Rattus norvegicus: one gene and its partners. The protein of the gene in region 2 interacts with the protein of the main gene of each other region in a biochemical or structural test. Links are inferred from orthologs where the notes say so. Each region holds a gene or a part of one and is shown on either strand. Other genes may lie near its edges. The genes, in order: Exoc2, Rala, Ralbp1 and Pld1.

Region 1 (8,208 bases), about 18 Mb from region 2:
GATTACTACTGAGTGGACACCTGAGTCTCCGTCGTCGTCAGATCTGCAAGTGTGTAGGGCAGAGAGCCTCAGCTCCTGCACAGCAGAAGCCCAGGCGGTGTCTGTTTATTTACACTTTGCATTTCCCCAAAGGGACACACTCTAGAACATTCTGTAAAAATTGTAGGCCCAACAGACCCTAAGTTCTGTGTTTCCTCCATTTCCCCTTTTGTTCTTTTTCTAACATTCCAAGATACTTACCCTAATAACTTAGAAGAAATTGATGAGATAAATTAATTTGTACTATTATTAAAACTATTACATGTTTTAAATGTAAGTTATGTTTCACACATGTAGTCAATGTGTACTATGAAATAATTATGTTCATAAGATAATCCTTGAATATACAATTCCCTTATAGAGAAGGGTTAAAAAATCAAAGCAACCTCATGTAGATGTTTAGAGATTGTGTGAATTCAGGGTTATGAAACAAAGTGAATTTTATTTTTATGTCTCATAGTTTAGTCCCATGAGTAGAACATCCTGGGCCCTTATGTAACCATTTCTTCATAGGTCCAGTGATGTCAGTAAGAAAATATTTTTTGGAAAGATTGGTGTAGGCTTTCCTTGGTGTTAGTATTGGAATCCTTGTACATTCCATCCAAGTTTCTGGACTTAACAGGACTTAAAACCCTTCCCTTTGTTTATTACTCCTGTGATTGTTGCTTGTCTTGGGTTTGTTGGGCTTTTGCCTCTGAGCATCAAGTCATAAACCTCGTTAAAATGAATATGTTCTGAATTTTACCAAAGCCATTTTTGCATCTTAAGAGAGACACAGGATACAACTGCACAGATAAGCAGAGAGGGCAGGGAGGCAGTGGGGTAGGTAGATCAGGTGTGGCTCTTGACAGGGCTTCAGCAGCACTAAAGGGAGGAGACAGGCTGCAAGGTAGTGAGGGAGCGATATGAATGCCTGCTGTGCCCAACAGAGTTCTTAGAGTAGAATTAGTCCTGAAGATGGCGAGCACTTAAAGAGCTCAGTAAGGAAGCTATGTGATGGCGTGCTTAGAAGAGTAGGCGCCATGGGATCAGCATAGATTCAATTCCATAGGAGACCAGAGAAAGGGCACAGTTGTAGTGAGCTCAATAGCTCAGACAAGGAGCCCATGGCAGGCAGAATAAAGATGGGAGCATTGGAACATTGGCTGCATAAATGCAATTAAAAAAGGAACATGGTTTGTGAGGCATTTACATTTCTAGTCTTGGGTAAAGGAGCCAGTTTAGGACACAAGGAGAGAATAGAGGAGAAAATTTTGTTGAGTTTATACAATATAATTGAGTTTTACATATAATTGCGTAACCTGAATCAGGAATTCCTCAGAGTTGATCACCAAGTATCTTCCTGGCTTTAACTACATCTTTTTTGTATTAAATCGGGCAAATGAGCTTTGTATATCAATACAGTCTTACCCAATAGCATGGACCCAGCATGCTATTGAATTGAACTGCCAGGCATGGTACATGCACCAGTGCAATAGGGTGTGACTAACATGAGGGTAGCTGACACCTTCGTGAGCCTTAGATTCATGCCTGCTGCTATAAACTTGGTCTGAAACCTTTGTTGGGAAGCGTTTTAAACCCTACTGAGAAACCTATTCTTGTTTTGTTAAATGGTTCTGTTGTCAAGCTGCCTTCCAAATAAATAAGTGTGTGTGTGTGTGTGTGTGTGTGTGTGTGTGTGTGTGTGTGTGTGTGTGTGTGTACCATGTGGATCTGTAGGGCTCTGGGATGTGACATGGTTGTGTGAGTAAGTAGTGTACACTGTCTCAGCTACTATGTTCTGTCACTCAGTTACAGAAAGCAACTATCTAGTCATCCTGGCGCCTGTTGAAACAGAGGCACGCAGAATAGGTTTGGTCTTTGGGAGGCCCTGCCTTTGCCAAGTATCAGTGTGCATTTTTGAGGTACTTTAATTCTCCAGTTGCTTTCACATTTGCTTTTCCTCTCAATACTTTGTCTTTCCCTGGGGCAAACTGTGATGGTTGGGAACCATCCTGCATTGTTCCAGCCCCTAGATTCCTATGAGGCACAACACACACACAGACACACATACACACATCTTACTTCTGTGATCTCCCATTTCAAGTTGCCCTTACAAAGAAAGAGATCAGTGTTTTCACCTTGAAATAGAAGACAGCATAATGTCTACTCTAAATAAACATGCCTGAAATTATAAGACACCATTAGAATGGCATAAGTCGGTCTTCTAGGTGTCTGTAAGAGACAGGTATGAGTGCAATGGATTAGTGTCTAGTGTGAAAGCAACTTCTTCCCTTGCTACCCTAGGGTACATTTTACTGCTCTGTGGGCCCAGCCACTGTAGTGGCCACTGTGGTGGACATAATGGCTTTGCAGTTAGTTTGTTTCTGGGGCCCATGTGTGAGACAGTGATAATCATTATCCAAATGAACTGATGAGGAGGCCATTTTCAGACAAGGGTAAAGGATATTTGAGGCCCAGCACCATCGTCTACTAAATCGTGTGTCTTAGGGCAAAGGCATGCATGCATGTCCATCCAATCTCCATACTTTTATTCTGTGTTCAACAGTGAACATCCAAAACCTTGTCAGTTGCCTTAAAATTGGACATTCTTGGTGTGAGGGAAAGAGCAAGGTGTATGTGGATTAACACACATGGAGGATTTTGGTGGGATGGTTTTGTGGATACCCAGCTGATACTTTTGTCTGCATCATTAGCCCACATATGGTGAGCACCCCCATTCCTCTGCACAAGGTTTCTGTCTCCTTGCAGTCCTAGAAGAGACCCCCGAACATTTGTGACTGCTGGTGATTATATGTGATGTGTAGATAGATCTTAGTTACATTGCTCTGAAACATTGTATCATTTAATGTCTTTCCCAGTTGTCAGAATTAGGAACTGAATTTTTATTGTGAGTGCAGTACAAATCACAGCAAATCATAGTTTATTTGCAGAAGTTGTCTGTATAATTTTCAACCTTGTATAAATTCAGGTTCTCAGTTCACAAATTTTGGCATAAAGTTTAATTTCAGTTTATGTTTCTTCCTATAAAATTATCTCTAGAAAAAATTATATTTTATTCAAGAGTAAGTATATTTTCTACCTGTTCTTCTTTTCATATTTTTAGAGTTTAAATTATTAGCTGGAATTTTTTTATTACTTTAAAATGATGAGAAGAATTTGAATTCAGACTGTTTACTCTGAATTCTTTCATTGCATAGAAAAAGGAATTTGCTAGTATTCGGCCCATACTTTACATGTAAATAAATAAATAAACAGAAAAGATTCTGTTCTGTGTGAAGTTTAAGTTACAAAGCTTAAACTCAATGATGTTTATACTTTTAAAATGATAAGCAAATGCTTTATGATACTTTTTTTCTGAAGAAGTTTTAAAATTCTAATCAGATTTCAGTACTCACTCAAGCCTTCATTACGTGGCTTGGTGACAAGGAAATGTATTTCTCATCCCACAATAGAGGTTTAGTATCCACATTAAATAACATGTGGGAAAAACAGTTCTCTTGACCAAACGAAGTTTTTATATCAGGCCTTTAAAATTTCAACAGAATTTAAACATTATTTAGATAAAACAATCATGTTACAAAGACGACTTTTAACAGGATCAGGCCACCCACAGTGTGGCTGTGGTGTGCAAGCCACCCAGCGAGGCGAGGTGAGTTTTTCATCTTTGCTTAAAGTATAGTCACTAGACCAGATAATGTAGAAACTTTACAAGCAGGTCAAACAGCTGAAAGCACTTTATTCTTGCTCTCTCTTTTCCTTGTAGCTAATTAAAATTAATTCACATGTTGCAAAATTTAAACTATTTTTGTATACAGCAAATTTTGCCTTAGAAAAACAGCTTTTATTTAAAGTGATATGTGTAATTTGTACTTTTTAAAAGAAAGAGTCATACGTGGTCATACATGATTTTTTTTTTAGCTGATTTAAGAAACAGTAGTGATGTTGTATTAAAATTTTGTTATTTAAAGTTCATATAATTTTCTATGCTTGCAACATTGAGGGATAATTTTATCAAGAAGGAGAGTTAGTGGTAATGACTTTTAAAAAATACTTTTCTGAAAACAGTTTCCCATATCCCGTTTATTACCTGTAATATGATGCAGAATTAATAAAATTTAAGTGGTGCGGTGTGCGTGTGTGTGTGTGTGTGTGTGTGTGTGTGTGTGTGTGTGTGCATGCGCACGCGTGCATGTTCTTTAAATACCCAGAATTATTATAAAATTTAGAGAGTTAAAATAAGTATATATGCATATTGGAGAAAATGATTTGAGCTTATTTAGTAAATGTTGCTGCTTTAATTAGATACCATTCTTAACATATGAAAGGACTTAAAAACTAGACATTTTATTTTAGCAAACTGTAAAAGATCTCTATATTGGTAACTTTAAAAAAGTTTACTGAATTTCAGTGCAGTGTAACGTTACCATTTGCTTTTAGTGCTCAGATTTAGGTCATTGTCACCGATCATCCTTTCTCTCTGTTTACAACAGGAGCAAGTAATACTGCTGACACATTGTTTCAAGAAGTGTTAGGTCGGAAAGACAAGGCAGATTCCACTAGGAATGCACTCAACGTGCTTCAGCGGTTTAAATTTCTCTTCAACCTTCCTCTCAATATCAAACGGAACATTCAAAAGGTACAGCATATGTATGTGTGCAGATGCTGCTGATCTTACAGATGGTTAAGGTATGTGGTATATTTTATTTTAACCCTGTGCTCACTGTTCTTCCCTAATGATTCACAACGTGTTTCTTATTTTCAAGGGGGATTATGATGTGGTTATTAATGATTATGAAAAAGCCAAATCGCTCTTTGGGAAAACGGAGGTGCAAGTTTTCAAGAAATGTAAGACTTATTTACTACTTTTAGACCTGTCTTTTCCTTTTGCAGGAGGAATGTGCAGTGTATACTCTGTAAAGAGTGTATATTCTGTAAAGAGTGGCACTTCTGTCCTGAGTCTTGTTTATATGGTGCTTTCTTTAAAACGTAAAGCAATGAGTGCAATGTAACCTCACGGGTTTTCTTACTGCTGTGTGGTGGGAGTGAGTGTTCATGGGGAGGCGAGGGCCGGTCTCAGATGCTCTGCTGTTGTTTTAACTACAGTGCATTAAAAACTTTTGTACTAGAGAGAGGCAGCAGCAAGTTTTTCACAGATGTGAAAATCTGCATTTCAGTCCTCCCTTTTCAAGCTAAAACCATGTATTTATGAGTTCTACTCTTACTCTAACGCAAACTCAATACTTTTCAAAATTGCTTTCTATACTGGGTTACAGAAAATAAAAGCTTAAATATCTTATGGTTAAAAACTTATTAACTAGGAGAAATACCATAGGTCTTATTAAATTTAAAAGAATGAAATCTATAAGGCCTCAGAAAGCAGAATTTATTTCTTTACTGTGGTGAAATTTACATGCAGTGAAATGCACAGACCTTACATGTTACAGGTCACTGAATTCTGACGAATGCTCATGGCCTCCTATACACTTGAGATGGTGTGTTTTGATCCCTCCACAAAGGTCCCTTGTGTCTCCTCTGAGTCAAAAAGCAACCAGTATTCTGCTTTCTGAAAGTGATTTTAAATTCAGTTCTGTAAATCTTGCATCTTTTAAAAATAGATTATGCTGAAGTAGAGGCAGGAATTGAAGATCTAAGAGAGTTACTTCTAAAGAAACTGCTCGAGACTCCGTCAACCTTACATGACCAGAAGCGTTACATAAGGTAAACCATGTGCAAGAACTCTGGTAAATTGCATATCTGTACTGAGTATATTGTAAAACCCACAAAACTAATTTGGGCGAATCAAAGGACTGATGAAATGGTAAAAGGGAAGACAATAGAAATTTGGGGGTATTTGGTTAGGACATGAATATTCCTGGAATATAAATAAGTTGGGAGCCATTATAGAGCCACCCTACCCTCAACCACCCCCCCCTGCCCCCGCCCCCGCCCCCGCAGGACAGACAGCCTGCCAGGTTGGCTGAAGGAAAAGCAGTCTCATCGCTCAGACCTGTTTTTCCTGCTCAGTAATGGTTACCACCTGACTCCCCTGGTTGACTGGGCTCTGCACCTGCAAATGCCAAACTCCATAAGGTGGGAAATTATAGCTCAGAAGTGTACCATGGCTGGACAGTAGTGAAGGATAGGAGGGTTTTCCCTAGAAAATATACAGATTTACATGTCTGTAGTGATCATCGAGAGAAGTAACTGTGGGAATAGTTTTCAGTTGGCAATACATTCAGAAATACTCAGCAGTGTTAGAGGAGCTGGATTCACAGGGCAGTGGAGATGCCGAGAGGAATGAGCCTTTCATTCTCGCTGCTCTGGAGTCCTGCTCTTCAGTTTCTTCATCGGCAGAGTGAACAGAGCAAGCAGCACGACTGGCTCAGGGCTGTTGAGGAGCTGGTCTTCTTAGGGAGTCGGCTCAGAACCTAGCACATAAGGAGCAGGCAGTGAGTTGTAGCTGTGCAGAGCCTACACTGCATTTGCAGATGAAACATAAATTAACAAGAGTTTTGTAACTAAGATTTAAAAATACTGACTTGGTTTTCTGCTATGCTATCTTAAGTGGGGTCTGAACTCAGAATAAAGGGCTCTTTCCCAAATTCAGTGACTTCTTTAATGAAATTTACTAAAACTTCAGTAGCTCTAAAATGACTTCATATATGCGTGCATATGTATTGCCTGTGGTCATCTTATGGACATTGAAAATACTGTGTGTAGGCCTGGAAAGACAGCCTGTCCCCGGACACTGCTGTCTGTGCATTGAAGGAGGGGCTAAGCTATCTTCTAGGCTAACAGTGGAGCAGATGCAGGACAGAGGATTTAACAGTGGATCCAGAGAACAGTGAACTGATTGCTGCTTCTAGGAAATGCAGGCCATGTGCCCACACTGGGCTGGGTGCTAACTGTGTTTCCTTTCTGGCCAAAGGGTCCAGCATACACAGCCCCAACAATTGCTTATCTGGTGTCAGAGCCCACCCTTTCCTTTCTTCTCTGCCTTGAGGAAATGTTATAGTTGAGGAACTTCCCTGGCTTGCAAAACTGCACAATTTAAAGTTGAAATAAACTCGGTGTGAGTTAGCTAAGCGCCTTGAAGCTTTGCTGCTTGTGTGTTAGAAGGTTAGCTTGCTTCCTCCTGCGTGAGTGAGCTAAATGTGCTTCAAGAAGTGCATTAACTTGTGGCTACAACTTTGAGAAGGCACTGAGCAATCTGATGATTAACTTTTAAAATTACATTTCTAGCTATTAGTGGATTAAAACTGAGCTCAGAACCAGGTCAAGTCTGTTTGACTTTAACATCTATGGCGATAGGTCCTGTGTGCACCAAGTAAAGCCAGAGACAGCCTGTGCACAGCTGTGTGTGTTTGACTCTGCCATCCACAGTTGGAGTGATAGTTCACTGCTGTTCTGCCTGCTCTCCTGGGCATAACTGAAGGTATCCTCTTCCATGCAGCTTAGCAAGAAGCAGTGCTCAGCGCTCTCTCTCCTCTCTCTCTCTCTCTCTCTCTCTCTCTCTCTCTCTCTCTCTCTCTCTCTCTCTCTCTCTCTCTCTCTCTCTCTCTTCCCCAGTGTGTCCCTACTCCTGGAGCTGTTGAGAATCCCAAAGAAGGTGGCTGGAAAGGCTTTTAGATTTCCTTTGTTTTGTTTCCTGAGAATTGAGCCCAGAGTTTCACTGAAAATATTCCTCCTTAAATTCTAAAACTCTGAATCTGTGCTCATCAGAATTAAGATTCTTCACCCCACCTCCCTACCTTTCCAAAACGCCTTCTTCAAAATGTTCTCTAGTATATAATTTAAAAAGAAAAGCAGTAACTTGTACCACTAAACATAGATTCTTTTACTGAAACTGCTAGTTTTAAGCTTGATGCTAAAAAGAAAAGAAACTTATTTAGGTCTAGAACTAACATAGTACTTACCAACCGAAACATTTTCTAGATTTTTTTGAGACAGTAACTTTATCTTTCTATATAAAATGTTTCTCAGCTTCTTCAATTTTCTGTTAAGATGGTATAGGATTATCAAAACTTTTAAGGTCATAGTGTATGATCTAAAGAGATTTACAATTTTATGCTGGGCAACTGCTAAAGAGCCCAAGTGGTGTACTGCCTGCAGCCCTAGCCAGGAACATCACAAGGGAAAGGATGCATCTTCTGTACAAGAATAGTG
Region 2 (8,208 bases):
AAAGGAGTTTGGGCTTTGATTATAAAATGCAGCATCTTTCTCTGATTCTCTTGGCTAAACTTTTCCTCTTCTTTTTTCCATTTTTTTCTTTGCTGTCTTCCATCTTTCTGGCTCGTATTTCCCTCATTAAATCAAAAAATACCTAGAAATAAAGAAAGTGGAGTAAACAAATGAGAAGCAGCATGAACCCAGTGTTTCTGTGTCACAGCACAAACCCCCGGATGAAAGAATCGCGTCTGAGAACTCTCCCTTCCCCAGCACAAGATGGCGAATGCTCACTTACAGAGCTGCCCTACCCCCAAGAGGGCTTATTGGTGAATGCAGGGAGAGGAGAGCACACAAGAAGGTTGAAACTTGAGAAAATTAGCAACTTGTCTGAATGACATATATCTCATGGTACATTGTACAACAAACCCTACCTATTTTATTGTAATTTTCAAGATTCAAATGAAAATAGTGCTATATAGTAATGACAGAGCCCAAGATAAAACTCAAAGGAGTACATGAAATATTTTTGAAAGGTATTTTTATTTCATGTGTATAAGTGTTTTGCCTAAATATACATATGTATGTGTGCCAAGAGTGACCCATGTATGTGTGCCAATGGTGTGTCCTGTGCCTAATGTGGTCAGAGGCACTGATCCCCTGGAACTGGTGATGCAGACAGTTATGAGCCATCATGAGTGCAAGGCACTGTTCCTGGGTCCTCTGCAAGAGCAGCCAGTGTTTTTAACATCTGGGCCGTCTTTCCAGGCCATATAACGAGCATTTTGTAATCAACAAATGTGTTTTGCTAATTCATTGGTTTGGTGGTAATTATGTTTATAGTGAAAAAAATTAACACAGTAACTAAAAATTCCTTGTATTAAATCTCAACTACAATTCTCCTGTTTTCTAACAAAGAAAGACCCAGAAAAACATAATAGATAAGTGTTGAGAGGAGACGGTAACTCTTGCAGGCCACAGTTCTACGTTCTGTTTGCTTTTTAGAGTCTAGCTGCCCTGAACTCACCATCTGCCTGGCTAAGCTTCACATATGTTCACACTTTCTCAAGAAATTCAGTTACTACTTAGGGAATTAAAAAAGTACAAAAACATAAAAACCTCCCAACCTCAATAAAATTAGAAACAAACAAATATAAAAAATAACTTGTCACAAGTGTGCAAACATATAAGCACAAATGACAAAGACTACATGCCGTCTTACTATGCCTTTAGCTCTCAAGGGAAACTAATTGGAGAACTCCCAGCAGCAGACATATGGAGAAGGTACTTGTACAGGAGGGAGGAACAGTGTGTGTGCATCTCCTTGTACTTGTAAAGACAGAACCATCAAAGGATAAACCAGATACTCACTAGCTTACAGGAGCACTATTTTCAAGAGCAATGGAAGACATCAGAACTGAATGTAATTTCTACCTGGAAAAATTACAATTTTGTACACTAAAACCATAAATAAAACACAAAATTCATTAAAATTTGAAAACTGGAAACAATGACTACATTCCTAGTTGATGACATAATCATGTAGAGAAAAAATTATTTCAAGGGTCTTTAGAACACAGTATATGGAAAATTCACCTTAGGTGTTAAAGATAAAAATAAAAGTCTAACAAGTAGGACCATAATGCCTTGCATGCAAGAAGCTCTATGTATGATCCTGAGTCTGTCTGTCTGTCTGTCTGTCTGTCTGTCTCACATACTCACTCACACCCACATCTACATAGATGCATACACACACTCATACCCACATGTATACACATGTACGTACACACAAAAACACACATGCATGTGTACACGTACACACACAGAACCTCAGCAACAACCAAAACAAGGCCAAACAAGTCTTAAGAATCACTCCGTGGCTCACTGTGAGAGTGACTCACACACACACTCTGGAGGATAACACAAGTGTTGCTGCTAGAAGCAAGGCTTTCCAGGATGAGTGTTACCTCAGAGATGTAAGGATCCCGGAAAGAAAAATCTGAAAGGGCATTAATTAATACTGTGAATTCGTGAGCTTTTCTTTTATTTTTAAAAAGACTTCCTGACACTGTTCAATGGCAGGGCCACAAGGCGGTGATAATAATGAGAAGTAACGGGCAAACAGGCTCCGGTTGACGGCTGAGTAACAATCTATCAAATGGGATTTCTGAGTTGGAACAATAAACATAAAACTTAGATGAGAAAGTGAGGGAACTATACATGCTAATGCCTCATCAGACAGGGAAACGGATGAATAAAGGGTAATTCTGGACTGGGGAGCATACAATGCTGAAATATCACAATGGCATAGACCAGTGTTGGGATTCAAAATCTCCCAGGGATTTTTGGAAGCCTCTGCTTCCAGTTCAGATGGGACTAACTCTAGCAGGAAGCCTCCTTTTTGGTCAAAGAACTCCATGGGAGTCTTCCAGTACTGGTCTCTGTATCAGCACTGTATCATAGTACACTGTGAAATGGACATAGAAGAAGGCTTAACTTTCTAGCAAGTGGATGACTTTCAGAAAACCACCCATACTAGAAAACATGGTAGACAACATTTAAAGTTGCATCAGTTAATCTGATGAATGAAATCCTGTTTCAAGTGCCGACCAAAACAAACATCCACTAAGGAAGAGAAGCCAGAGTCAGACAGCCAGCAGAACCACCTCCCCGTCTGCCCGTCTTGTTCTCCGGGCTCCACCCTCTTTTCTCATAGGACAACTCAGTGCCTATAAAATGTGGCTTTCTAATTCCACACTAATTACCTGAGAAAGTAACCTTTTCACATAAATAAAAATAAAGTTAGACAAAACAAATCCACAGGTTTATACTTGACTTAAAATATCCATTGCTTAAAAAAAAAAACTGCCTTCACCAGTATTTTCACTTTTAAGTATTTAGTGGCCCTGAGTTCACACTAAAGACTATTAAATTGTCAACAGAACCAAGGAGCTATTATAAAAACGAATACACAAAGGAAGTAATATGTGTGTATGTGTGTAGCTTAGAATGGTTGAAAGCTCTAAGGAAGCCATACAATTCAGAAATCACAAAATAAAATAATCAAAATGTGACAGTATAATCTACTTTTCCCCTGTTCAAAGATTAAGTAAGCCACATGAAGACATGTTACAGATTAGGAGACAATAATGACAACAAATGAAGTGGACAGGGGATAATGTTATTATTCTAGACAGACACAAGTCAAAAGGTATGCAAGTCATTAGGCAGATGGACAGAAAGACTTCAGATTGGCAGATGACTGGGTCAATCAATCAATCAAAGCACATGCATTCTCACCCGTAATCAGGGCAAGTTTTAAGGGCTGTTTTAGTTGGGCTGGCAAGGACACATGAAAGCAATTTCTTATAAAGATAATGGAACACAAGGGCACTGGTATGGTGGGCACTTTGTCACCTGTCACCTCTGCTGAAAAAGAATCCGTGCATTTTTCTGATGCACAGAAGTTTGGTGGGGTGCTGTTTGTAGTAGAAAACTGTGTGGGTGCTGGGGGAGAGATAGCTCAGCAGTTAAAAGCACTTTCTCCTTTGAATAGTTGGGTTCAGTATAAGGACTCATCATGACTTAAAATTGTTATTAGACACATGTAGCTTTAGTCTTTCACGTCTATAAATACTGTTTCAATGACTATCACTGTAAATATATTTATGTGTGCATGATTTTTCCAGAAAATACATTTTTATTTTAATACTTTTGAATTTATTGGCTTTAACTTCCTGCAACTCCTCCTAGCGTTCCCCACTGCCCTACCCACCCAAATTTATTCTCTCTGAAAAAAAAAATCAAAACAAACACACAAACCCCTCCTAAAGACAAAATAATACCAAAAGCACAAAAACAAAACAAAAAGCACCCAGGAACCTATTGAGTCAGGCACTCCTGCTCTGGTCAATTCTCCTGAGCCTACGACCTAGGTCTTGGTGTAGGTTAATAGAGCAGTGACAGTATACTGGAGAAAACTGATTTTCTCTTTCCTGGTCACTACCAATTACAAATAGCTTCTTGGTTAGGAATGGGACTTTGTGCCACTTTCCCTTGTCTACAGTAGAACAAAATACACGTTTAGAATCTCAAGTGCTGGGTCACAATTTTAAGAGATTAATATCACATTGCCCTTCTATAAATATGAGGCTTTTTTACATTTCATGCCAAGAATATACTGCCATTTTTTCCCAATGAGATAGGATTTAAAAAATGACATTACTTTTTTAAACAGTACATTTGTTTTTTTAAGCAAGACTAATGTCCTTTTTAAGTTTAAAGCCATGGACATTTTTTCTGATAACGCATTTAGACTGCATTCTTGCTGGATTGCTGGCTGTCTTCTAACTCTCCTGGGAGAGCCTGACCCCACCTGGCATTCTTCTGAGGTCAGCACCAGACATGGCTATGACAGCATGGCTCATCTCTCTACACTGCCTCCTCTTTTTGCCCTTTTTTCCCTTTCCCCTTAGTCTTAGTCACTTTTAGTGTGTTCATAAGTTCCTGAGGACAATTAGGAAGAAAGATATGCCTATGTTTTGAAAACTTCCTCACATTTAATATTAAAATGTATTTTAGAAGAACTTTAAAAATATTTAACATAATCTTACAGAAAACCAGTATAGTATATGGAACAGAAATATTGTAGGACTCACTGTATCCAAGTACTAAGTCTGACCACATTATTAAAAAATTTAATCATGACAACATGGTCATAATATCTATTACAAATGAATAGAAAGAACTGCTGATTTTTTTTTAACCTCATGTTTTCTGCCTCAATTTTTTCTTTTTTCTTTCTTTTTTCTTTTCTTGTGTGTGTATTTTCTTCTTAAGACAAGTTCTCATTGCAACTGTGTAGTCTAGGCTGGCCTTGACCTCACAGACAGCTGCCTGGCTCTGTCTCCAGTGTTGTGATTAAAGGTAAATTCTACTATGGCCGACCAACCTCATGCTTCCTAAATCAGTATTATGGACTTCTAAGTATAAGCCAACTGGTCTACAAACACATGAGGCCATCTAGAGCAATATGAGCTTTCTAGAAATGTGTATTCCCATTCTAGAACAATTGAAGCAAAGTCCTTAGTGGTGAACCTTAAGGCAGTGTGTGTGCTTGTTAGGATTCAGGGACAACTGGCTGGACAGTGGGTTTAAGGGGCTCCTCCGGATAGTCATAGTACACAGTAACTAGAGAGCACCCTAATGAAAATCTCTAAGCACCCTGAAGATATCTCCCCTAATCCTGGAAAGGGTTCCATCCAGAAGGCACCCTCCCTTCAGAGGACTTCTATAACACTAGGCAGGCATCAGTCAGAGCAAGCACATAGCATGTTGGCATGTTAGGATCTAAAGAACTTCTTTTACAGTATACAATCCCATTAAAAATGAAGGCAGTAAGTGGGATGAGGAGTGCTACTGATGACCTAGAACACTATATTCTTCTGTAGTGTCTTATATCTGAGAAGGCCCAAGACAAGGTGAATTTCTACTGTCTTACTTAAACACATTCTAATCTCTGTCAGGGCTGGTAAAATGGCTCTCGGGTAAAGGTGCTTGCCACCAAGCCTAAGGACTTGGGTTTAATTCCTGGTGGGAGGAGAGAACTGTTTTGTGCTGTCTTCTGACTTCCACAAGTGTGCTATAGCTCCCTCCTGCCCTCAATAAATAAAAGTAAACAAACAAATCACTATATTAAATTTTAGTTGGATCTTAGAGTCTAGATAAAGTAGGGTAACAGGGCTTTTATATACATGGTACAGTAACAATGAGAACACCCTTTACCTTGTCAACGTTGGCGCGCGTTTTAGCAGACGTCTCCACATAGTTAACGTTCCACTGGTCAGCTCTGTTTTTTGCCTCTTCTACAGAAACCTGCCTTTTATCTTCTAAATCTGATTTGTTACCAACCAGGAGAAATGGGACATTCTCATCTTCTTTTACTCTTAAAATCTGTTCCCTAGAGAAGTAAAGCAAGTGAGAAAGTATTGACACAATGTCTACATAGTAGAAACCACAGAACAGGGACCGGAGCTGTCTCAGCAGCCAAGACGGTCCTTGTGGAGGAGGATCCAGGTCAGTGTCCGGCACCTACATGGTGGTTCACAAGCATTCCTAACTCCAGCTCCATGGGATCTGATGCTCTCATCTTATCTGTGTGGGTACCAGGCACACTTATGGCACACATAGCTACATGTATGTGTGCCAAACAGAATCATAAATATAAAATAAGTCTAAAATCAAAAACAAGTAAACAAACCCCACAGAATAACAACTAGCCATCTGCAATCAGAACTTATTTACAAGCATGTTTCTAGATAATCCAAGTTCATGGTTCCTGCCAACCACTAATTTAGACACACACTCCCTTGACTGAGGATGGAGAACCCCAGCAGAGGGAACACAAGCACGGCAGTAACAGAAGAGCTGTGAGGACAAGCTCTGCCGCAGGACACACGGCCTTCCCTGGTTGCTATCCGAGTGTGAGCACATTTCATGCATCACAGCTTGACATGTCACTTACTATCCAGATCCAAACCCATCTCCTTAGCTGTTTTCATTGATTTTAGCGTTTCCTTTTCAGTGTGGGACAGAACTTATGGCTTCACAGACGCTAGGCACATACTCTGTCACGGAGTCCCGTTCTCAGCCTGGCTCCCAGTTTGTACACAGTATGTCTTCCTGTTCCAGGCACTCATGCAGCACTTGGCGCCCTGACATTCCAACAGGCTGTGCGGACACTTCACCCAGCCTATCCTTACTTTGAAGATGAGCTTGGAAGATGAGGGGGACATTGCTGAGCTGTTTCTTTGGGACTTTTCTCTTACTTAAGCTGAGATTACGGAAGGAGCTTTCAGAGACAGCACTATTCTTATTACATTCCAAAGGCCCCTCCCACACAGGCCCGAGATTTCCAAAAATAGCTCTTGTATACAAAGATGTTATATGTTACAAGATATCGCTGACTGTCAAGTATTATGGCTCTGTTCTTCCCAGTCATGTGATTCTGAGCAAAGTACTTCTTTGCCTCACTGCCCTCATATATATGGTGGGATTGACAATGCATTCATTACTCACACAGTTGCTGAGAGCATTAAAAGTGAATGCTTATAACTATGTGTGGTGATAGTCAATTATACAGTGAGTCATAGGTGCTCTCATTAGTACTGGAGCAAATGCCTAGCTAGTTTGTCTGTGTACGTATCTTAAGGTCCTAAGACTGAATCTCAGGCCGTGTGCACACGGTGGAAGAGATATGCCACTGAGCTATGCCCTCAATCCCTTTCATTCTGAGAGAGGTCTCAGCAAGTCGCCAGTGTGGCCTGGCCTTGAACTTGGGATCCTTCTGCCTCAATATCACAAGGAACTTGAGTTACAGGTGTCTGAAACCCTGTTTGGCCTTTTCTGTTTCAAAATGAAGAAACATGGGCTGGCTGAAAGACTCAGCTAGCAAAGGCCCCTGTGGCCAAGGGTGACAACCTGAGCTCATTCTCTGGGACCTACATGCTAGAAGAGAATGGAGTCTCACAATTGGTCCTCTGACTTCCACATTCGTCCTGTGGCCTATGTACACAAACTAAATAATAAACAAATAAATAAATGGAATTAAAAATTTAAAAGAAACCAAAATAAGTATCTTAGATCATCTTGCTATCATAGACATGCCATACCTTTGAAATTATTAAGAGATGCAGAAATTATAGGAACACAAACATTTTTAGTTGAGAGAAAATAAAAACATGAATAGATTCTTTGAATGGCAGGTCAGTAAAATATACCTGATTAGTTTGTACAGCTCCACTGTGTAATACTTGTTACCACTAATATGATCTTTAAAATGTGTATCAGCAACTCACCATTCTTGCTACTTAATTTATGATCTGTTTTGGAGAGAATTTTAGCCTATCCTGGCTTGTTTCTAGGGCCTCGTTTTTCTTTCGAGAGTCAGTCCTGTGGTTCCAGGCTGCACCTTTACTCTACAGCAAAGATGCCTGTGTCACCTCCCACTGCCGGGACTACTGCTACATGTTAGGTTACTTTCTTAGTCCAGGCTACTTTCAGACATTACTATTCAAATGTTAAAATATGAAAATCCGTTTAAAACCCAGCTCAATTTTATTTTGGAAGTAAGGAAAGGAAGCTCCAAAGCTTCTCAAGTCCAGTGTAGATCAGCCACATGCTGTACTGTTATATGCTCATAAATGATGCATGTAGGAAAGAAAC
Region 3 (7,643 bases), on a different chromosome or scaffold from region 2:
CCTCAATATTGCCAGCAAATATAGAATGAGTGTTGCACATCTGACGGGTGCAGCAAGGCATTTATACATTTACATTTGACACCTGACCACGTTTCCAGTTTCCATAATATCTTCTCTCCAGATTTAAAAAAATAGTATGCTGATTTCTATAACAAAGCTTTTTTTTCCGTACAAAAATCAAATAATGGCCAACAAGTCACAACAGTGCAATAGGTAGAGGCTAACGAAAAATCGCACCAACAGGTGCTGAAATAAATACTAACTAGGAGTAGACCGGAGCCCTCCTGTGGGTTTGTCGCTCACTTTAGAGTGTGGGATTTGTCTTCAGAGCCACAGGGGACCTCCCTGGGGGCCACTCATCTGACAGTGAAATCCGGTTGCCTAAGAGTCCGGCCTCCCAGACCGCTGGGAGCAGTCGTCCAGGTTAGAGGCAAACACCAGGGGGGGTCAATTACAGTTACGCTTTCCTTCCTTCCGCTCAGTTCTGTCAGAGTCCTTAAGCAGCCCCTTGAGATGACATGGACAGGTGAAAGTTGTGCATGACAGCATCTACATGGCTTATCCTGGCAGAGGTGTGGGTATCCCAGCCCAAGCTAGCAACTGAAGTCACTGTGGAAGGTGACTTTCCTGGAAGGTCAGTGTGGAAAAGGACCCTGGTGTGAGAAGTGTCCTGTGCAACCTCAGGGTCAAGGTGGTCATCTCTGACCACCTCTGAGAAGAGGCCCTTGCTGCTCCCTGGCAGTGAGTGGGTGGCCTGCCCTGCCCAGGCTGGTGGCAGGCTGCATGGTAACCTCCGTCTGCAACCAAACTGGGCCGTCCTGACTCACACTGACAGACCCGGAGCTGGAAAAGCAAAGTGGTACACACAGGGCAGGTACAGGGAACCCCAGCGAGAGCCTTTTTGGCCAGTCAGAGAATATGAGGCAGCTCCCCACTGAACAATCTGCACCAAAAGGTGTGGAAGGCACAAGCAAGAGTGGCCAGGGACCCTGCAGGGCTGGTGAGACCACGAGCGTCCACAAGGCAGGCGCAGAAGTGACCTGGTTTGGTTCCCACCCTTTGATAAGAAAGAGATCCTGATTCTGCTGTGATTTAAACAACAACAAAAAAAAGCAAAAAGTTTTTTGGTTTAAAAAGAAGCCACTCAAGGGTTAAAATAGTTATTTTTAACAAAGAAAATTAATTTTCAAATAAGCTGACACTATCTGGAAATACCTGTGTTCCCTGCAAGCCCCCCACCCCCGAGTGTCCACCCCTTCACTCTCCCAGGACCTGAGCCTGACACGGAGTCAGACGTGTGCAAGAGCGAGCGTCTCTGAGAGCCTTCACAGAACGCTGCCCGGCAGGACAGGCAGCGGACTCTCGCTTACAGTACGATGCACAGGGCCGGGGCAGTTCAGATGGGCGTCTCCTTCCGGTCTTTGCTGGGCGAGGGCTTCGCCTGCTCCTTGGCTGCTCTCACCTCGAGGACACCTTCACAGGGTAGTGGGCCTGTGCCCCCTCGCCTCTCGGGCTCCTCCTCCTCCTGGAGCTGCTGCTCAGACTTGGCTCGCAGCATCTGGAGCAGCCGGAGCTGCACTCGGAGCTCAACGATGGCCTCCCGCTCTTCATGGACTGCCTGGTTCAAGTGATTGTTCTTTATCTGAAAGAATGAGAGGGAGGGCAGGTACCACTTAAGCAAGGTCAGATGGACAAGGAATCAGGGCAGAAGAACACAGGACAGGCTGCAAGCAAGCTGTCCTAAGCAAGGGTCCAGTTCTACTTCAGACGACCTGACTGGTCAGCACAAGACAGGAAGACAAATAAATACCACTGGAGGCCTAGTGACAAAGCAGTAAACACACTTAGAAAACAAGGCACCGACAGAACCATTGCTGACTAAGTACAGTGCTTCAATGGCTTCTTTCCTCACCCTGGTTTCTGAGAAGCCCACCAGGGAGTAACACAGGTAATTTTAACAGCACTGAGGAGAGGGAATGAGAGCGGGGATAAAAGCTGAGACCATTTTCTCTGTAAAATCTGTCCTTGTGTGCTGTGCTCGTTCAGCAGTAATTTGTACAGCGACCACCCCAGCCATCAGAATGCCCTCTTCTTCGTCAGTATTTCCCAGCATCCTCAGCAGCTGGGTGTGCCCTCTAACAGACACCTTTGCTCCAATGAAGTGAGCACAGGCACCAGCCCCACTGCCTACTCAGTGTGACACTGGGTGTGCCTTGACCCTTTTCTCCCCTACTGAGAACGTGGCAAGATTCAGGGCAGCCGCTTTGGCCCAAGCAGAAAAAGCTGTGTTAATGGGCCTACACATTATGCACAACAAAACACTACACAATTCTGCTGTCTGACTTTCTGTTCAGGAAAGCAAGAGCAAACTAAGGCACCCATGTGTCTTCTCCAGGGCAGAATTCCCATAAGGCACCCATGTGTCTTCTCCAGGGCAGAACTCCCAGGATCCCTGTCTTACTCACACGAGCTTCCTTTTCTGATTTGGTTTTTCAAGACAAGGTCTCAACTCTATCGACCAGGCTAGCCTCAAACTCAGAGCTCCACACCTGCCTCTTGCTTCCCGAGTGCTGGGATCACTCAATGGGTGCGGATACACGGCTGGGTGCATGTGAAGGGAGCTGGCGTCAATCCAGGTCCTCAGGCCGTACTGCCTCCACCTGCTGGGCCATGTCACTGGATCCCTACCTGCTTCTTCCCCAGGAGAGCCATCTGCTACAAGTGTTAAGAGCATCACTGCCCCTCACTCGGCCCACCCTCCCAACAGTGGACAGCAGCGGTGGGCAATTCTTAAAATACTATTTTTATTTAATGTGCATTGGTGTTTTACCTTCATGCGTGTCTGTGTGAGGGTGTTGGATCCCCTGGAACTGAAGTTACAGACGGTTGTGAGCAGCCATGTGGGTGCTGGGAACTGAACCTGGTCCTCTGGAAGAGCAGCCAGTGCTTTAACTGCTGAGCCATCGCTCCGGCAACAATAGTTTTCCTATCTTTTTGCTGTGATTTTTCAAGCCCTGACTGTCCTAGAACTCACTCTGTAGACCAAGCTGGCCAACAACTCAGAAACGCCTACCTTTGCTTCCTGAGCCGCCATGCCCAGCCACTGTGCAACTCTAGACTCCCCTGTGCACTTGCCTGGCAGTTGAGTGAACATGGATGAAGCAAAGGCGTCCTGTTCACCCAGTCGTCCTCACAGGAGACAGTGTGACAATGTTTTATTTGGGATGAGAAAGGAAATTACTTGGACAGTGTTTCCTTCTCAGTGGAGCTTCCCTGGCATTTGGTCACATCTGCTGCTCTGTGGGGCAAGGACTACAAGACAACTGTCCCTCAGTTTACAATGGGCCGATTCAAGGGACTCACTTTCTCCACTGCAAGGCCACGGAGGTCTGTGGCCAGGCACCATTCAGCTTTTATAGGCTCACTTATACACCAAGGCTAGACGGCCTAGAGCACACGCCCCATCCTGGTAAGAATGCTCTCTCTCAGGGGGCTGGAGAGACAGCTCAGTGGTTGAGAGCACTGACTGCCAGAGGTCCTGAGTTCAGCTCCCAGCAACTACATGGTGGCTCACAACCATCTGTAATGGGATCTGACGCCCTCTTCTGGTGTGTCTGAAGACAGTGATAGTGTTCTCATATACATAAAATCTTTAAAAAAAAAAAAAACAAAAAACAAGGTCCTTGAATTCTCCTCCACAAGTCTCCAGCAGGAAAATAGGTGGTTTGTGGTCAAGAACACTTGAAGTTGCTGATTCCTGGGTACTGTCCCCCAGACTTACTTCTAACTCTTCATTCTGCCTCTGTAAGTCTTCCAGAATGATCTGCAGCTCCTCCTCATCCTCGCTCTCGCTCTCGCTGTCAGAGGAGTACTCCTCTGTCTCGCTGCGGCCATGCTGGCGACTGTGTGGAGACAAGGGAGCGTTATGGAGTACTCAGAGGCCAGCTAGAGAAGCTACCTGACCCAAGGCTGTGTAAGACCTTCTAAGGAGCCCACAGGGACTGACATTCAGAAGCCCAGTTCTTTTATAGGAATGGCTAAAACACTGGTTCTCGACCTGTGGGTCTCAAACAACCCTTTCCCAGCGGTCGCCTAAGACCATCCAGCTGCATATCAGTATTTACATTATGATTCATAACAGTAGCAAAATTACAATTATGAAATAGCAAAGCAAATAATGCTATGGCTGGGGTCACCACAACGTGAGGAACTGTTGAAGGCTTGGCGCATTAGGAAGTTGAGAACTACTGACTAAAACAGCTCTGCTCATGTAAACCACAACATGGCTGAACCTTCCAGCCCCGTGTGCCCTGTACCTCTGGATCTCCGCAATCTCAGCTCGGAGGCGGTCAATCTCTTCTTTCTCCGAGGCGATCTGACGACGCAGAAACTGCTCCATGGCCAGGAGCTCCTCCTGCTCAGTCAGGATCTCATTCTCCTGAAACAGTGATAGCGGCTCGGGGTGGACAAGGTTACCACCTCCACCGTGCTATTGTCTCGGAATCAGGAAAAGCTGCCTAGCCATGTTGAGAGAATGTCTAGACAAACGCACACAACGCCAACGAAACGCACACAAGAACCTGCTGCTGCTCTCACAGGCTCCTGTGAGCTGGCCACCCAAGGCAAAGGACCAAATGTCAGCATCTGCTTTGGCTTGCTCAGGGCTGGGGAGGCTGCTCGGCGGTTAAGAGCACTTACTCTTCCTCAGAGGACCCAAGTCCAGCTCCCAGCACCCGCCTCAGGGGCTCACAACCACCTGCTAGAGGAGGATCCAATACCTTCTTCTGGCCCCGTGGGCATCTGAGCATTTGTGTGTGCAACACGCGTGCATAAGCAAACATAACCTAAACACCATCTGCTCTGCTTCCTGGCTCTCAGGATTCAGGGACACAGCGGCTTCTCACAGTGTCACTAGGAAAAGGCCCAAGAGAAGCATGTGTGGCTGGCAGCAATGTCAGGTGCAAGGCAGAGCAGAGAGGAGGAAAGGTTACAGGGTTTCCCTTCCTTCCTCACCATCCCCAGCCATGCCTTTTGGACAGGTCAACCATTCCTTCCTAAACTGCTCGAGAAGAGCCCCAGGGAGAGAGCCTGTCTGCACTCCATCTCGGGTCCTCAGGCCTAGAGAACAGTAGAGCAGAGGAGGACTCGGAAGCACAAGCATCAGCAACTCCCTGCAGACAAGGAGCGCCATGGGCACAGCCCAGGAAGCACTGAAAAGCCCCTGAAAGAGGCCGGTTCTCCACGTGCAAACACACTGACATTCTTTGTCTGCCCTACATGTGGATGGAGCTGTATGCCAAGAAACCTCAGGTGGGAACTCTCAAGAAAATAATCTGCAACTTCTCTCTCCTCAGAGTTTTTGTTTCTGTTTTTTAAATCAGGGACATGCCAACAACACAAACTTCTGTGTAGACTCACAGAGACCAGGAAGCCAGACAGAAGGCAGCTTCTTCTCTACACTTAACATCTCAGCACACACAGTACAGAATAGGAACAAGTTCTTTTGAGCCAGTCCATTACAACTTTGGTTTAAAAAGTCTGTAGTTGAGCTTCTATCTGGAAAGTGAATCCCTTTGGGAAGGGAAAGGTACCTGGGCAAGGAGGATATTTATGACCTCCTCGTTTTCGTTCGTTTCTTCTTTGGAAACATCCTCCTTCGAAAGGCTGGCTATCTCCTGTGCAATCTTGGTCTCACACTCCTGTCAAAGACAACACACGATTTATTGTTCAGCCCACATGTACCACATAGTCAACAAGTGGCCCTCTCAAATTAACAAGATAGGAAACCTCGGCAGCGGTGGCAGCAGCAGCAGCAGCAGCAGGGGACTGTCTGTAATGATGGCTGGACATCTGCTAACCAGGCTTAGAAGGTACTGTAGGTAGGACCAGGCATAGTGGAACAAGAACAGGCCTTTAATCCCAGCACTCAGGAGGCAGAGGTAGGAGGACCTATGTAAGTTCAAGGCCACCCTGGTTTACACAGTAAGTTCCAGGACAGTCAAGACAACACAGAAAGACCCCACCTCAAAAGGCAAAACCCAAACCAAGCCATCAAAGACTGTAATGTGGGTAGAGACCGCTAGGCGGCTCTGTGGTGGACACTTACTTGCTATCAGAAAGCCAGACAACCTGGGTCCCCTCCCCTCCCCAGGACTCACATGATGGAGAGAACTGATTCCGGCAAGTCCTTCTGACTTCCACAGGTATGCCATGGCACGTCCACACCCACGCGCACACTCACACACAAATAAACGTTTTAAAGTAAGGAAAGAATACAACATGGTCACCTTGGTCTATGGCTGCACTATGAAAAATGCATAGTTCTGATGAATACGCTCCCTTAGTCTAGACTACATGAGACATCTTGAAGGGAGCTACTGGGGTGTCAATTGTAAGCCTAATTTAACTAATTTTACCAAATACACACAGTCAAGTAGCCACCCCCACCACCCTGTTAGGAAACATCCCGTTGCTACACCGCTTGTGGTGCCGGACCCTCTCTATCCCCACAGCCTCTGTCATGTCTCAGGGGAGCTGACCAACAAGTCACTCGTCTGTAGCCTCACACTTGGCTTTAAGATGTGCCTGTCTACTGTGCTGCATGAACAGTGGCCGAGTGAGAAGCAGCACGCGGACCCCTCAGCTTATGTCCCCCAGCAGCTGCAGGGCTCCGGCTGCTGCTTCCAGCTGTTACGAAGTTGCCCGTGTTTAGTGAAGGCTTAAAGGTTGCTGCTGCTTCCCCTAGAGGATAAATGCTGTGAGTGGATTTCTGGGGTGTATGATAAACAATCGTACAGTTAATTTCTGGGAAAGTGACAAGAGGATAGCAAGGTTTAAACTGGTGCTAGACTTTGTTCATATTTTCAGTCATTAATCCACTGAATGATATGTCTTTAAGTAAGTTCTCCCTCAAAAGTAAAGCCAGCATGAAGGAACCTGGGTGTATAGCTAAAAAATAAGGCAGCAAGGGGAGGGAATGGTCGGGGAGAGACTACAACTGGTAAAGGGAAGAAGACAAGACAGCCATCTCTTGTCATACCCCCACACTGCTTCTGAGCTCAATACCAAAGTTCTGTGTGTGTGTGTGTGTGTGTGTACACAAACCTGTATAGTCATGTACTTGTGCACACATGGGTAGAGGCTAGAAGTCATTTGTCAGATGTCATTCCTCAGTCAGTTCTCCGACTTAATTTTGAGTCATGGTCTCTCATGGAGTCCTCTGCACTGGCTGGCCTTCAAGCCCAGGGCCCTCCTGCTGTTCCAGTGCTGATCATAGGCATAAGCCATGACACAAGCACATAACTCCTAGGTGTGAGTGCTGTGGACTGAATTCTGTTCCTTACTTTTGCCAAAGCAGGCACTTCACCAACTAAGCCATCTATCTCCACAGCCGTGGGCCTTTGATAACAGACACACAACTAAGAGACACAAAAGGCAAACATCTACCTCTGTCCTATGGCAGGGACCCTTCACGTAGGGCTGCTGGACAGTGCAATCTGCCCTGTGAAACTCAGGCACACGTCCAAAGCCAAGCATGATGTCCCGAGCCTACCATCCAGCACATGCCAGGCAGAGGCAGCAGGATCAAGAGTTCAAGGTCACCCTGACTATAGAACCAATTTGAGACTACTGGGCCACAAGAG
Region 4 (8,208 bases), on a different chromosome or scaffold from region 2:
CTTCTCTAAGACATTGAGTTTTTTGCTTGTTTGTTTTGCTTTTTACCTTTTGCTAAACAGCAGGTAGCTATACCATGTGACTTGACTTCTTCTTGTGTGTTGATTTTTGACCAGTGCCATGCTGGTTTTGTTACATTGCTGGCTCTGTAGAATAACTTGAACTCAGGCATGGCAATACCCCAGCGCTGTTCTCTTGTTCAGCACTTCTGCTTATTGAGGTCTTTGAGGCATCTATGAATTTTATGAATTTTAGGATTTTTTATGAAGAATGTCATTAGAGTATTTGTAGTGATTGTATTGAACCTGTAGGCAATCTTGGGGGACACAGCCATTTTCACAAAATTAATTCTGCCAATCCTGGAACATAGGCGATCTTTCCACTTTTTCAGTTTCTTCTGATACTCTACAGTCTTACATATCCCAGGCAGACACTGAGTATCACACAACTGACCTGGAACTTCCAGTCCCCTGCTTCATGCACCACCACACCTGGCTTGCCCACACTGGGGCTGAACCCAGGGCTTCTGAGCAACTAAGCCACATCTTCAGCATGCTGCCTGTAACTAATCGCTTTCGCATTTTAAATGTTCATTGTAGAGGATTTTCATTTATTTGGTTGGGTTTATTCTGAGGTAATTTTTTCCTTTTAAGCTTTTATGAGTGGGTTTGTTTTACTGATTTATGGTCACAGCACATCTATTGTTTGCCTCCAGGAAGGCTACTTCAAACTACTTTTAAGATTACAGACTTAACATCTGTCTTTTGAAGATTGGGTTTTTGGTTTGCTGAAATAATCTTGATGGTTTTATAAGCCTACACGATTACAACACAGCAAATGGCTTTACCATAAAGGAATGAGTTTTCCTTGCCATTTATAGAGTTTGTGACTGTGTTGTAACACAGCTTGTAAAAGAAAAGAAATCATGGCCTTATTATCATGGGAATCTGCCATGAATTAGCTGTTTATTATAGGTCTAAGCATAAGTATGTAAGATAAACCCCAGTATAAATCACATTAAATTACTTCCTTGTTAGCCATTGGTATTTAAGATAAAAGTAGGCAGAGCTTCTTTCTATTTTATTTCCTTTAGAGTCACTTTGGTCAAGTGAGAAAAGACATGGTATGAGAGAAAATGCCAGGTGTAATAATTAGAAGGTATCAGTGCAGTCCATTAGAGTTCACATCTTCATTATCTAAAGATCTCCCAGTTACTGCGGTGAGTGGAAACTGCAGGAATTAGGCCAAGCACCTAGTATGAAATCCTGCCCTTCATGCACGCTATGTTTTAAACTCCATAAGTAGAATTTGGAGGCCTGGAGAGATGGGTCGGTGGTTAAGAATGTTTGCGGCAAAATCATGAGGACTTGATTTCAGATCCATGTCCACACAGAACTAGCTGGGCACAGTTTAGTGTGGCGTCATCACCCCTATGCTGTGGAGGCAGAAAGAGGAAGATGGCAGGGCTTTACTGGCTCACCAGCCTAACCAAACAGTGAACTCCAGCTTCAGGGAGAGACCTGCCACAAAGGAGTAAGGGACAGGGGGATAGAGGAGTGCACAAAGTGCCTTTCTCTGTTGTTCACATGCAAGGGACCCTGTGGGAATGTATGAGTGCTGCATGCCTACCACACGCACTATACACACAACAGAATTAGTGAAACACTCTCAAAGGCAAAGCCGAATTTCATGCATTTGAAATAAACGAGGAATGGCCTCAGGTATAACCACATATTACTTAGGTTGAAATTTTGGGTTGTAAACTAAGTTGTATTTCCCCCTAGTGTCTTCTTCAAAGCACTGACCATAGTTCAGTGCTAAAGTTTCAAATATTTAAAAGAACAGATCACAGGAAAAGAATACAACCTGACTTTCCTTTTGACCCCTCAACTAGTGTTTTATTAGAAAGTACTGCCTGGCTAGTATCAGAAATCAAGCTGTTCCCTTCTTTCCCACATTTTTATGTGCTTATTTCTTTATTCATATTATGTGTGTGATAATCTCTTTAAAAGATATTTCTAATTTTTAATTACATGTTCGTTGTGTGAACATGCATACATGCACACAGTATTTACAACGGCCTGAGATGTGTATCAGATCCCCTGGAACTAAGGCTGTGCGGCACTCTGGGTTCTGGGAGTGAACCTCTCATCCTCTAGTGTGGCCTGCTCACTTCTCTCTAACACATCATTCTTTAAAATAGATGTGTGTGTGTGTGTGTGTGTGTGTGTGTGTGTTTGTGTGCGTGCATGCTGCAGCACAGGTGTAGAGGTTTTTTCCTACCACCTGGGTTCTCCCTCAAGCTGTCATCAGGCCTGGCCACAGATACCTATATCTGCTGAACTAGCTTGTGCTTTTGAATTTGATTATAACAGTAACTGAACAGTCACCGTGAGCAATAACAAAAACATTCCTAAGGCCAGGTGTTAGCTACAGAAGTAGAATTTCATGCATGTGTATACACGCACGTGCAAACAGTTGTGCCAAATAGGTTAATTTTGGGGGTTTTTGTTGTCGTCTTTTCAGAATAAGGGTGGTGTGTCTTCTAATACACCTCATAAACACCTGATTGTATATCTAATGTCCTGCCAAAACCATAGACTCATATTAGCTGTAACTAGTGAAATGATGTGGTCTTATAGGAAATTCACATACTCTATCATATTGACCGAATAACAGTGGGAAATGTATTTCTGTTATGTACTACCTGAAGGCATGGACTCTTAAGGCATTTGAAGCTGTAGTGTTGTGAGAACACGTGGCTCTTGTTGGTCAGATGGTACAAGTCAGTAGGAGTTCGCCAGGTGCTTTCTGCTTTAATTTGACAGTGAACAGCTCTAGCTGTGTTCTTTTGGCCCACTGTCTAGGGGCAGATCTGTGTTAATTTGTGTGTCCATGTTACACTTAGCTACTGGTAAGAGAAGTCCTTTTGCTAGTGATGTAGACATTCAGTGTCTAAGTGCGAGGTAAGACTTAGCACATTCATCTTTGAGGAAATCAATATTTTTCAGGAAAGAAAAATCTTACTTAAGCTCCACCCTGAGACATTTAGGGAACATTTGGCACTGGCTGTTGCTTTGAAGGCTCAGGTCACAGTTTTCCTGGGTGATAAGTGAAAGGCACTGCAGCTACTGGACACTTTCAGGCACTGAGGCACTGGTCTCTGCATTCTGGATGTATTATTAGTACAGTACCAACACTCATGTGATTAAATGTGTATGAAGGGAAGGGGTGGTTTAATTGATATATATATATCAAATTCAACCCAAGCTGGCCTTGAACTCTCTCTATTCCTAAGCTTAGCCTTGAACTCTAGTTTCTCCTGACTCTACCTCCCAAGTGCTAGAATGACCAGTATTTGCCACCACACCTTTTAGGTTTTTTGTTTGTGTCTTGATGTAATGTGTGTCACTCTGTGTACTGTCTGTTTGCTAATTATTTTCATACCGCTTTGCAGAGTAAAGGAAATCTAACACAGGGAAAGGAAGAAGGGAAGGGGTCATAACTGTCTCGGTGCTCATTCCTGTCTTTCTTGTGACAGCAACAAGGTGTGCGGATTTTCATAATGCTTTACAAAGAGGTGGAGCTAGCCCTCGGGATCAACAGCGAGTACACCAAGCGGACTTTGATGCGGCTGCACCCCAACATAAAGGTATCCTGGAACCAAGGATTACTCTCCCACGGTGGCCATTTCTGAGTAGATTCCCTTCATGCTCATTTTGAATGAACAGCATCAAATCTTCTGAAATGCAGACAGTATTACACTTTCTTGTATTGCTTTCCAAAATTAGCATGCAAAGGCATGTAAATCACACATACATACCATATTTCTATTGAACCCCTTCTCCATCTCCTTTGCCTAGCATCCTGCTCCCCTATGCAGTGCAGCAGCCCACACCTGTGATCTCAGCACTTGGAAAGCAGAAGGAGAATTGTCATAAGCACAAGACCAGTCTAGGTTATGAAGTAAATGATAGGTCAGCCACAGTTACATAGGAGGACTCTTTGTGTGTGTGTGTGTGTGTGTGTGTGTGTGTGTGTGTGTGTGTGTGTGTGTGTGTGTGTATGTGTGTGTGTGTGTGTATGTGTGTGTGTATGTGTATCAGAGAGAGAGAGAGAGAGAGAGAGAGAGAGAGAGAGAGAGAGAGAGAGAGAGAGATTGATTATGTGAAAGTAGCCAGGGCTCTGGGGTCAACAAGAAGAGAGAGAGAGAATGAGAAGGAAGTCTGGTGACATCACGTATAATGAAACCTATCATTCTGCATGTTCACTTAAAAATAAAATTTAAAATGGGTTTTTAAGATTTATTTATTTGGGCTGGAGAGATGGCTCAGTGGTTAGGAGCACTGACTGCTCTACCAAAGGTCCTGAGTTCAAATCCCAGCAACCACATGGTGGCTCATAACCATCTGTAATGAGCTCTGATGCCCTCTTCTGGTGTGTCTGAAGACAGCTACAGTGTACTTACATACAATAAGTAAATAAGTAAACAAATAAATCTTTAAAAAAGATTTATTTATTCATTATATATAAATACACTCTACCTGTCTTCAGACATACCGGAAAAAGGCATTGGATTCCATTACAGGTGGTTGTGAGCCACTGTGTAGTTGCTAGGATTTGAACTCAGGACCTCTGGAAGAACAGTTAGTGCTCTTAACCACCGAGGAATCTCTCTAGCCCCTTAAAGTGTTTTTAAAGGAAGAATTCAGGGTGGTGTGGTGGTTCCCACCTTTAATCTAACCACTAGGCAGAGTCAGGAGGATGTCTGTATTGGAGGACACACTTGTCTATACAGTGAGTTCCAGATTAACCAGAGCTGCATAGTGAGGTCCTATTGGAGGAAGGAGATGGGAGGAGCTGGAAAAGGAGAGGAGGAGGAGGAGGAGGAGGAGGAAGAGGAGGAGGAGGAGGAGTCAAATTAAAATAAAAGAACATATCAAAACTGATAGAAATTAGCAAAGTACAAAGAGGGGAGATGTTTATAACCATAAACAATTCGTTAGAAAAGAGAAAAGGTCTCAAAATGTCAGTTTAATCTTAAAGCTTTAAGGATCCAGACAAAGGAGAACAAAGCAAACCTACAGAGAGCAGAAGGAAGGAAATCACAAAGGAAGCATTGTCCCACCACTGGCAGAGCAGGAAAAAAAAAATCGGTGGAACCAAAAGTTGGATCTTAGAAGGATTGACCAGTTCAAGAAACAAACTGTTATGTGGAAGAAGAAAGGAAAAGACTTTCTGAAAGGAAGAGTTTCTGAAGGCAAGCCATTAAAGAGGGGCCTGGGGAAGAATCCACGGGAGTGGTAAGGATTCCAGAGATTCCGTGAGCACAGGCACACCCAGTAGTAGGGTCACCTGCCTACGAGGCTAACTTGGGAAGAGGAATGACATCTGGATAGATGCAGCCAGTCAGGAGATTGATCAATAACTAAAAATCTCTCCCCAGGGGTCCCTTTGATGACTTCACTGATGAGCTCTACCCAACAGTTAGGGAAGGCCTATGTCGGTCCTTCTCAAATATTTTCAGGGACCCAGGAAGGAAGACTGGCCAGCTCATTACTTTGGAAAAACTGAATGATGCACACTAAAACTGGTCATGTGGTAAATTTCATGTTGTATATATTTTACCACAATATATGAAAGTGTTAGCCAATATTCTTAGGGTCATCCTAATTCCAAAACATAGGATCATATAGGGGGTCATCCTGGAGCAGTTGGTCAGTTTTTCCTAGTACCTTCATGTATCTGTATGCTTGTATCATTGGGATACAAATATAATTTCTTCTTTTTTGTTGTTTCTTTGTTGTTTTGAGCCTGGGTTTCTCTGGCTGCCAGGAACTTACTTGGTAAACCAGGCTGGCCTCACAGAGAACCGCTTGCCCCCTGCCTGCCTGCCAAATGCTGGAATTAAGAGCCTGAGCCACAACCCCCAGCACAAATATACCTTATAGATGTCTTCCCACATGTGTGTGCTTGGTTAGGTGTTTTATTTATTTACTTATTGATTAATTAATTAATTTATCCCGAGGGTTACCCTTGGAGGGGGTTGAAAGAGAACCTACAGTTATTAGACTAACATAGCTTTAATGGTTGCCATTCAAGTCAAATGACAATTTCTTCAAAATATCTCCTCTGGCTGAGAACTTAAACCATAAGAAGGCACATGGAGGGGCCTGCACCTGGAATCCAAGCATTTAGGAAGCTGAGACAAGATCTCAAGTTCAAGACCAGCCAGGGTAATCCTCAAAAAGAAAAAAAAATGGATGCAAGTCTTTCTCTGCTAATACTGAGAATAAAATTCGAAGTTTGAAAAACTCTCTTTGGCACTTCTAGAATACCTTTTTGTCTCTGAATTTCTTGGAAGAGTATTTTTCAAGGAGAAAGCATCCCTATCTATTGTGATGTGAAATTTATAAAGTGCATTCTCTGTGGATTTCTCCCATCTCCAGGTGATGAGACACCCAGACCATGTGTCCTCCAGTGTGTATCTGTGGGCTCATCACGAGAAGCTCGTCATTATCGACCAATCGGTGGCGTTTGTGGGTGGGATTGACCTGGCCTATGGACGGTGGGATGACAATGAGCACAGACTCACAGATGTGGGCAGTGTCAAGCGGGTCACCTCAGGACAGTCTCTGGGCTCTCTCACAGTGAGTACCTGGCGCCTGTGTGGGACAGCTCGAAGCTGGCAGGCTTGTCTAAACCCATATGCATAGCATAACTGAAAACTGACAGGCTTGTCATAAGTAGCGTGACTGACCCAGTAATGCAGAGCTGGCTTGGAGCAGGGAGCTAACTAATAACTTCTCAAAATACCTGCCAATCAAGAGCTGCCAAAATATCTCCATTTGCTTATGCACCTGCTTTGTGTTTCAGCTCTACACAATATATTGCAATGTATTTCTTGCAAGACTTGATGGGCTCTTATTTATAGATGGGAATATCTATCAGTTGCTTTTCTGGGGGTTGAAAGAAAGAGCACTGCACTGACTAGCATATTCCTTAGCTCTTCTCATTGCTGGGACCAAGTACTCCACAAGAAGCAACTTAAGGGAGGTAGGATTTGTTTTGACCTGCAGGTTAAGGGGTATTAGTGGGTAAGGGGTGTTCCTCAGTATGCTGAGGAAGGTGTGGAAGCAGGAAACTGTCCCTTGTGCATCTCATTACAATTGCAGTTAGGAAGCACAGTGAAGACAAGTGCTCAAACCTCAAAGCCCACCCACAGTGATCCCCCCCCTGCAAGGTTCCCCCTCCTAATGCCTTTCAAAACAGTGCCACCAGCTGGGGACTAAGTGTTAAACAGCCAGTGGGGGACATTTTGCATTCAAAAGATGCGCAAAGGATTAACAGAGGAAGTCATGGTTAATCAGAGAAGTTGGGTAGTTTAACAATGAATTTAAATAGTGTAATGACTGGGAGATAAAGGGGTTAGGAAAATGAAGTTCAAGTTTTACTTAGGCATTGTGGCATGCACCTTTAATCCCAGCATGTGAGGGACAGAGGCTGATGGAGCTCTTGAATTTGAGACCAGCTTGGTCTACAAAGCAAGTTCCAGGAAAGCCATGCCTAGAAAGAGAGAGACCCTGTCTCATAAAACAAACAAATAAACAAACAAACAAGAACAAAAATAAGCAAACAAAAGAATTTGGCTTGCTAAAGAAGAATCCACAGCAGGGCTCATTTGGCCGACCACCTGAGACTCTAGGAGAGTCTGTTCTGGGGCAACCACTTGTTAACTGCCTCTTAGCTCTAATTAATCGAAAGCCCATTGTAGTACATTTCATGCTTGGTCTTTTTTTCTCAGGCAGCATCAGTAGAGTCTATGGAATCCTTAAGCCTCAAGGACAAACATCAATCTCATAAAAACGAGCCCGTCTTAAAGAGTGTCAACGATACCGACATGAAACTGAAAGGCATAGGGAAGTCCAGGAAATTCTCCAAATTTAGCCTCTATCGCCAACTTCACCGCCGTAATCTGCACAACTCGGACAGCATTAGCAGCGTCGACAGCGCTTCCAGTGAGTCACGGCTTCGCTAGAACTTCCGTTACCCCGTGACCCTGTGGGTCTCGCAGCCCTTGCCTATTTGCTTTAGAAAGATCCGTGGTGGCAGTCAATGGACGATGTGCAAAGACTGCCATGCATCGTGTGTGCCACCATGGCACTGTGACACTGTGTTTTGAGACACTGTGTCTCAGCTGCGGCCCAGGC

What was found.
Region 1: the proteins of Rala (region 2) and Exoc2 are reported together in a solved structure, tested with the Homo sapiens proteins (2 studies listed by BioGRID, with this or other methods). The link is inferred for Rattus norvegicus from reciprocal best matches to the Homo sapiens genes RALA and EXOC2.
Region 3: the proteins of Rala (region 2) and Ralbp1 form a complex in vitro, tested with the Homo sapiens proteins (3 studies listed by BioGRID). The link is inferred for Rattus norvegicus from reciprocal best matches to the Homo sapiens genes RALA and RALBP1.
Region 4: the proteins of Rala (region 2) and Pld1 form a complex in vitro, tested with the Homo sapiens proteins (2 studies listed by BioGRID). The link is inferred for Rattus norvegicus from reciprocal best matches to the Homo sapiens genes RALA and PLD1.

What each region holds. Positions count from the first base shown.
Region 1 is NC_086035.1:33,789,096-33,797,303, forward strand, and holds part of Exoc2 (exocyst complex component 2), read left to right. Parts: intron 1-4,532; coding exon 4,533-4,678; intron 4,679-4,805; coding exon 4,806-4,887; intron 4,888-5,657; coding exon 5,658-5,760; intron 5,761-6,258; exon of another isoform or gene 6,259-6,470; intron 6,471-8,208. UniProt on the Homo sapiens protein: Component of the exocyst complex involved in the docking of exocytic vesicles with fusion sites on the plasma membrane.
Region 2 is NC_086035.1:51,830,760-51,838,967, reverse strand, and holds part of Rala (ras-related protein Ral-A), read right to left. Parts: intron 5,945-8,208; coding exon 5,770-5,944; intron 143-5,769; coding exon 20-142; 3' UTR 1-19. UniProt on the Homo sapiens protein: Multifunctional GTPase involved in a variety of cellular processes including gene expression, cell migration, cell proliferation, oncogenic transformation and membrane trafficking.
Region 3 is NC_086027.1:112,903,443-112,911,085, forward strand, and holds part of Ralbp1 (ralA-binding protein 1), read right to left. Parts: intron 5,700-7,643; coding exon 5,592-5,699; intron 4,439-5,591; coding exon 4,317-4,438; intron 3,903-4,316; coding exon 3,782-3,902; intron 1,643-3,781; coding exon 1,397-1,642; 3' UTR 1-1,396. UniProt on the Homo sapiens protein: Multifunctional protein that functions as a downstream effector of RALA and RALB. As a GTPase-activating protein/GAP can inactivate CDC42 and RAC1 by stimulating their GTPase activity.
Region 4 is NC_086020.1:112,899,710-112,907,917, forward strand, and holds part of Pld1 (phospholipase D1), read left to right. Parts: intron 1-3,539; coding exon 3,540-3,650; intron 3,651-6,447; coding exon 6,448-6,648; intron 6,649-7,802; coding exon 7,803-8,016; intron 8,017-8,208. UniProt on the Homo sapiens protein: Function as phospholipase selective for phosphatidylcholine. Implicated as a critical step in numerous cellular pathways, including signal transduction, membrane trafficking, and the regulation of mitosis.